Danio rerio: one gene and its partner. The protein of the gene in region 1 purifies or fractionates together with the protein of each later gene. This does not show direct contact. Links are inferred from orthologs where the notes say so. Each region holds a gene or a part of one and is shown on either strand. Other genes may lie near its edges.

Region 1 (3,500 bases):
ACTTTTGACGATTACACTGACAATGATTGTAAGCTGCGCCAGAGATGCCTTGAGATGGCATTTTTTCCTTTACAGTAAAATACTTGTTTACAGAAGATGCAAGAAATGCACTGTTTAAAATATTATTTACAGGATATGCAAGAGTTGATTTAGAAGATATATTTATGCAAGTTATTTAGGCAATGTATGCTTTAATTTCAGTTGTTTAATGTTGATGTTCAATTAATAATCATTGATAGTAGATCATTATTGATAGTAGTGTGTGTTTCCTTCAATAATTTTAAAATCAAGTAATGCATCCTTTATTCAAAAATCTCTCACTTGTAATATGTGAGCACATTTACTGTAGAAAACTTCACCGTGATCTATGAGGGCAAAAAAAATAAATAAAATAAATAAAAATAAAAAATAAATAATAATAGTTAACCGAGTTAAAATGTTTAATTAATCGAGATGTTGATTTTAAGCCAAATTGCCCAGCCCTATGTAAAAATCATCTTTAATCAAATGACATTTAAATATTTTCCCCATAAAATGATTCCTTGATGCCATGAATGTAAATGACACAGTGGTAAATAATCTTATATTGACTATTGCTGTTAGTGATTTGTGAGTTAGTGAATGTATTGAAATTCTAAAAGGACAGTTGCCTAGAAAAGAGTGCTGCTGTTATAATCACAAAAAAACTGTCAGTCGGTGACTATGTACATCGCAACATCACAAAATTCTGTTATTAAAGTGCTTTTATATAATGTTCTGTAAAAAAAAGTTAATCTCCTATTTACATAAGAGAACAAGTCAGCACTGTTCAAAACTCCAGCATTTTGATCAGTAAATGTAAATGCCTCTGATGGCCATTGTATCGAAGTAAATGAATGAACATTAAAATGTACTGGTAATTTACTTTTCATTTTATGTTTGGCTAAACAAAGTAATTTGCCTGCATTAACTCATTTGCAAACTAACTTCATTGTCTTTAAGTTCATAAAGAACAACAAAAAAAGATAGATGTTTTAAATACACCTTTTCTGCTGCCTGATTGTACGGCATACTACAAAAAAGTGACAGGTTAAGCCAAATCTGTAAATCTAGTATCTCTCCTGGTGGACTGACCTGTAGTGCAGGGTCCAGTAAGCCATGTGGATGGGCCTGAGGGCTCAGCAGCCCCAGGGATGGGGTTTCTCCAGAGCCCATCTGCGCGTACACCTTATTTAGCTCCAGGATACCTTTGGTACGTGCCAGATTCTGTAGGTGCTGTCTAAAGGCCACCAAGCCTACACAGAGAGAGGAATAAGATTATGAATAATAGCAGTGTTATTTCCGAATGATTTACAGATCATCAGACGTTCTGCCCTTAGTGTCTACATCCATGTGTGGTCATGTATTTTCAGATGGGAGTGTCAGAACTGAGGAAGTGACTCTTGTTCCCTGAAGCCCACACCACCTCTGACTGCTCCGGTGCACCACTACCACGTGACCTCACTTAACACGGCTAATCAGTCTATTTCAGGACAAGATATGTCCAGGCAGGGCTGCAAATGCTTTATTCATCGCTCAAGTACACATTAAAATGCCGTTTAGTGGCTCTTGACTCCTCTGCTGCCTATCGGAAGAGGGTAGATGGGTTGATTCTTAGGTTATTTTAGGGCTTCAAGTGATTAAGGGTAATTATTCAGGCCACAGGATGAGAGAACTCAATAGGACTGACTTGGCCTAATCTTCAAAGGGTTCTCTGATTCACACAATGAATCATCTGACAGGGGGTGGCGCATTTAGAGGAGGAAAACAAGAGAGAAACAGGGAGGGAGGGAAAGGGTGTGAAAAAAATAATAAGTGTGAGAAAATGAGAAGGAAGAGCAGAAAAATGTATTACTTTTTATATTTTTTTATATCTAATGCACATATAACAGTACAAATGTTAAAATGACTGTGATTATTAGTAAACATGTAAAATTTTACACTTGTTAAGAACATTAACATTTAATGTTAATCTATCATGTAATGTTTTTTATTTCTAATTTTGAACTATTTTTAAAATAGAAATAATATTACCAGCTGACAAATGTCACATGATTCTTCAGGAATCATAATCATTCCAAGATGCTGATTTGATGCTGAAGAAACATTTCTTCTGATTCTGATAGCTGCTAAATATTTTATTATGTATATATTTTTCAATGAAACGCAGCAAATTAAATCCCATATGAATTGGAAGTTACTGCAGACTTTTAAGTATGACGACATATTTCCAACTCAAATATTAAGGGTGTGGGGTTTTACTTTTGCAATTCTCCTCTCATTTTTCACTTGCAGCAAAGGAATGATTTGAGGGTGTTGCTAAGCATATCTCGCCCCAGGCCATCAAACTGATGTCATTCCAGAGGAGAAGCAAATGGTTAGATTTTGATTACAAACTCTTTACTTTCAGTGTAGGGCAGAGATGCCCAAACTAGGGCCTGCAGGCCAAAGTTGGCGCCTTCATGCCATCTGAGAATGGTTTAGAGAATATCATTTTAGATTTATTGTAACCTTATACTTGTTTGTTTTATAGTTAAGCTTCAATCTGAAATGGAACGTTTTAATGCAAACAGTGTAAATTTAATAAGATTTAGTTTAAAATGTACACTTGACGGAGAGAGGACAATGCAGAGACTTTGTTGAGCGAATCAAGGCAAAGACTCTCTGAATCCTAGTGTGTTCAGCATTGAACTCCACTGTGTTATAAATGTGTTGCCATAAGTTATAAAAGTTCAAAGATTCAAAATAATGCTTTCTATTTATTTTTTTAACGTTATGAAATTAATTAGAAAATTACCCATGGTGTTTTTTTAAATGTAAAACAGTTTGGTATACTTTTATTTGACCCACAGCTATTAGTAATATTTGGTTTTTGATCCTTCATTCGACAAAGTTTGGGCACCCCTGGTGTAGGGACTAATTGTTCACTTTTCAAGACTAACAACGCGCTAGCAAAATGTTGTAAAGTTTGATTTCATCCAACCTTTGAACATCAGTGAGCAATCTCACTTAGGGCTGCACAATATGTAATTTTTGTAATACCATTTATTAAGTAAATATATTATATGCCCTTCACCTTGTGTGAGTGATGTGTCTGAAGCCCTGCGGCCCTCTCTGAAGCTGATGGGAGAGCGGTTGTGCGTTTCTCTCCTCTGGGTGCTCAGTGCCTGCATGGTGGGGTTCGCGGGCCGAGCACTGATGAACGGTGGAGTCAAGCGGGTCACTGGTGTGTTGGCCAGGACCACCTCATTAAGAGAGGGCCCGTCTTCAAGCAGACTGAGGTCACTGTGCATGGAGCCCATATCATACTCTGAGTCCACGCTACCCAGAGAGGGGTTATGACCCATGCTGAACAGTTTACCTGGGTAAAGAACAGGATGACATACTTTATAAAGCATTATTGAATTGTTGAATTAACATTTGCAGCATTAGTTTACTAATAAGCCACACTGACCTCCACTTGTAATGATCCCTGGCTGGTT
Region 2 (4,300 bases), on another chromosome or scaffold:
CGCCATCTTATCCAGCACGTTATTACGCAGCAGATGCCCTTCCAGTCGCAACCCATCTCTGGGAAACATCCACACATCCACACACACACATACACTACGGACAATTTAGCTTACCCAATTCACCTGCCACATGTATTTGGACTATGGGGGAAACCGGAGTATGGAGGAAACCCACACGAACGCAGGGAAAACATGCAAACTCCACACAGAAACACCAACTGAGCCGAGGTTCGACCCAGCGACCTTCTTGCTGTGAGATACATAATTATCAATAATACTAATAATTCTATCTTTAAAAACAAATGACTGAGGAAATGTGCAAAAAATGTTTTAGTGTTAACCGTTATTCAAAACAGATATTAAACAAGCTTGTTTTATGTTGTAGAATATTTGATGCTGTTGGAGTAAATTTTTTTCATATCCTCATCTTTTTTTTTTATTGACTTCAATAACAAACATACAAAATTCAATTTACACAGAAAAACACAATGACAATAACAGATCAGGATAAATAATATAAACTTTAAAAATTAAATAAAAAGATTTCATATCCTCATCTTTTTTTTATTGAATACAAGAATAATAACATCACTGCATTGAAGAAAAAATACAATAACAAAAAATAAGAAAGAAGACAGAGAGAAAAATTAAAAATACACAGCCTCAAACATTAACAAAAAAGATTGTCATAAGCTTTAAGAAACTTATTATTTTTCTTATTATTAATAAGCTTAAGAGATTCAATATATACGAAATTTCAACAAGGAAAGTATTAAAAACAGGTATTGTTTTTAGAAACTTATTTTTGTGTATAAAAAATTTACAGTGTAACACAAAAAAATTTACAATAAGATCGAGAGCATGACCATCATCCGAGAAATACAGAAATATATCTTTTATAGACAAATTTAAATCATGTTTAAAAATGGATGATAAATAAAAAGTAATGTCATTTTAAAGACGTTTAATGTGAGTGCAACTATAGAATAAGTGAAATAAAGTCTCTTCATGTGTATTGCAGAAAGTACACAAATTAGATATATCAAAATAATTCGCAATTTGGGAATTTGTAGGATAAACATTATGCAAGATCTTAAAATGTATCTCTCTTATTTTGTTGGATATGCTGAATTTTTCAGGTAATAACCATGCTCTCTTCCATTGAATGCAGTCAGAGAAGTTGGTCCAAAAAAAATTACATCTTGGGGTGGTATATACAGAGTAATGTAACAATCGTCTGACATGTCTGTTGTCACATTTTTTATCAAAAAAAGACACTCCATCCAAAAAAGTTTAGGCATAATTGTTTCCCTCTTCTTAAAGTAAAAAAAAAAAAAAGTTTTAAATAAATGCACATAACTTTGTGACAAACGCATTTCATATCCTCATCTGCCCACACAAGTTCAGTGGCGTTACATCATTACTCCAGCACCCACTGATGAATGGCCAGCGCCGATTACGTCATGACAGGGCGGGGTTGCGCCATTTTGAATGTTGAGAGGAGTGTAGGAGGAGAAAGCTGAGGAGGAAAGACAGAACATTTCAACATTTAATAGCGAACTGAAGGGCTACCGACAAAAAATAGCGTCTTTCCGACATTCCTCTTCATGCATTTGCAGAGGAGCTGCTTGCAATAAAATAAACCCTGCAAAGTTCTCTGGACAGTTCTGATAGCAAAAACTAGCAGCAGCAGCAGTAAGCCAAGGTAAGAGCCGGAAGTGACGCAACAGCGGACCCGAAAGCGTGATTCCCTTTCAAAATACAAGTACAAGAAAAGGATTTTAAAGTAAGTTTAATATAAACATTGTATAAAATGTATTCATTCATCAGTTTTCATTCAGCTTAGTCTCTTATTTATCAGAGGTTGCCACAGAGAAATGAACCGCCAATTATTCCACCATATGTTTACGCAATGGATGTTCTACCAGCCACAACCCAGTACTGGGAAAATTGTTTAAAACCTGAAATGATTTTTATTATAGTATTGATTTAAACTATTATGTAGTATTTTACAATTTTATTGTAGTAACCGAAAGATTAATGACATATGTTACTTTTTGTTATGTAATAAAGGATATATATATTTTTTTACATTGTTTTTTATATGTAATAAAGCATATTACAATTTTTGCATATCATTTAAATATTTTTATATTCACTTCAGTTTAAAGATATCAGTGTAATACATAACTTTGTAAATAGACAATACATTTTAGTTATTTATTATGTTTGATATTTGCATATTTGCATTTCCTCCCAAATCAAAAGGAACATTGAATGTTGGCACGTCATGTATTTTTAGCATCATATTAAATCATATGGGCATGATTCCAATGTACTCTAGTAAATAAAGCTGCATACCAAAGATGCCTGTCATATGAAGCTCTTGGCATTGTTTACCTTCACTATGAATATTTCAGTGTTATTGACCACTAATAAGTTGGTTTGATAAATTATGCACAAATGGTTAGTATTTATCAGTCCTGACAAAAGCAGAACCAATGTTAAACAAAGTGTATTAATAGAGATTTTCATAATAACTCATAAAACAGGGAAAACCTTACTGTCAGCTATATCTTTTTATTTGGGTTACCTGCATGAATAACTAGAAATATTGTAATATATGCTTTCGCCCAATGCTTGTTCGCCCCAAAATTGAGTATTTACTCTCCCTCGTGTTTTTCCAAACCTATTTTAGTTTCTTTCTATTGTTGAACACAAAAGAGAATATTTTATAGAGAGCTGACAACCGGTAACCATTGACTTCCATAGTAGTAAATGCAAATACTATGGAGGTCAATGGTTACAGGTTTCCAAAATCATTTGTGCATAGTGCTCAACAGATTATAGAAATGCAAAGGTTTGAAATAAATAAATGGTGAATTAACGATGACAGAATTAGCATTTTTGGGTGAACTATACCTTTAACAAATCTGTTTGCTTTTTATTTCTTGTTTCCCTTTTTATCCAGAAGTATCAGAAGCACTTTTATTTTGAAAAACAGCATTTCCGGCGACTCTCTTGGAAATTTTGCTCTGGTCGCCTTCACACTGCTTATCAAGACTAGGGTCCGACATCGCCACTCTCGCCATGGCAGGTAACTCGACAAGTTTATGAGCTGCTTGAGCAGAGATTGTTCCAATTCACCGTGAACTAGGGAATCGCTTCTGTTTGTTTCAATGAGCGCAGCGGCTGCACTGGAGCCACCATCGCGTTCCTGCTCTACTGACAGTAGCCTAGCCGCCTAGCAGCCTCGTTCCCTCCAGTTAGCCAGTAAATCGACAAAACTGATTTCCATCTTATGTTATTTATAGTGCAAAGATCATTTGAGGATGTTTTAAGCAATACTGTTGTTTTTTTCTGTGATAGAGGTGTGTTTCAGCGATGAGCTTCATTTGAGTGGAAACATGTCTGCTGCTAACCCTTTCATCATTTGTTAGCGGGATGCGCGGTCAGGCTGCGGGATTTTTTATATCTCGGTTGTGTAAATGAGTAGGCACTGAGTAACACGTCCGGTTTCTTTTCTGTTTGTGTGTATTATTTGGTGTGGTGTATAAATATATTGGAAATGCGGGCCTCTTTAAATCTCCTCCATTGAACTGGAGAACTTTAACCGGCATCTGCAGAGTCATGTGCAGTCAAACTGCCGCGCGCTTCGCAGAGAGACTGGAAGCCGCTAAAAGCGGCAGGATCCGCAGGGATGACAAAGACGAACGCCTTTTATTCATTAAACGCTGTTATTCAGACTTACCCGATAAGTAACGTAGAAATCTTACAGGTCAGAGTCGTGACTGTGAGGAGTGGGAGGGTTCAGTTTTATGGCAGTGATGGAATATAGGCGTCCTCCACAAAACATTTTATTACCGCTTATAGCAAGGGTGCCCAAACTTTTTCTCATGAAGGAAAACCAAATTGATTGAGGCTAACTGTTATTGGGCCGAAGGCAAATATAGGTGGGGTAATTTACCATGGGTAATTTTTTAAATTTATTTAATAATGTTTAAAATTTACTAGAAAACATTTATGTTAACTACAGTATTTTGTATATTTTATAATGAACCCATCATAGTAAAAATCGAATTTATAACAAAATTATACTAGTTTTTCCTTGATTTGGTTGCTGATGTCTTCTGCATAGTCTATCCGTCGAGTGACACTACTTGCATTTACAAAAAAAATTGATGCATTTACAATTAAATAAAACATTTAATTTATGTGAACATTTTTGTAGTTCAGCAATAAAACAAGCAAAGGAGGTTACGTCAAATTAGAAATGACGATCTTTGTATTAAAGGCATTC

What was found. Proteins that work in one complex are often made in the same cells at the same time.
Region 2: the proteins of sik2b (region 1) and ppp2r2ab purify together in Homo sapiens (affinity purification with mass spectrometry; 3 studies listed by BioGRID and IntAct, with this or other methods). This does not show direct contact. The link is inferred for Danio rerio from reciprocal best matches to the Homo sapiens genes SIK2 and PPP2R2A.

The regions. Positions count from the first base shown.
Region 1 is NC_133190.1:24,253,624-24,257,123, forward strand, and holds part of sik2b (serine/threonine-protein kinase SIK2), read right to left. Parts: coding exon 3,473-3,500; intron 3,380-3,472; coding exon 3,095-3,379; intron 1,275-3,094; coding exon 1,114-1,274; intron 1-1,113. UniProt on the Homo sapiens protein: Serine/threonine-protein kinase that plays a role in many biological processes such as fatty acid oxidation, autophagy, immune response or glucose metabolism.
Region 2 is NC_133185.1:23,747,211-23,751,510, forward strand, and holds the start of ppp2r2ab (serine/threonine-protein phosphatase 2A 55 kDa regulatory subunit B alpha isoform), read left to right. Parts: upstream 1-1,500; 5' UTR 1,501-1,786; intron 1,787-2,971; 5' UTR 2,972-3,090; coding exon 3,091-3,097; intron 3,098-4,300. UniProt on the Homo sapiens protein: Substrate-recognition subunit of protein phosphatase 2A (PP2A) that plays a key role in cell cycle by controlling mitosis entry and exit. Involved in chromosome clustering during late mitosis by mediating dephosphorylation of MKI67.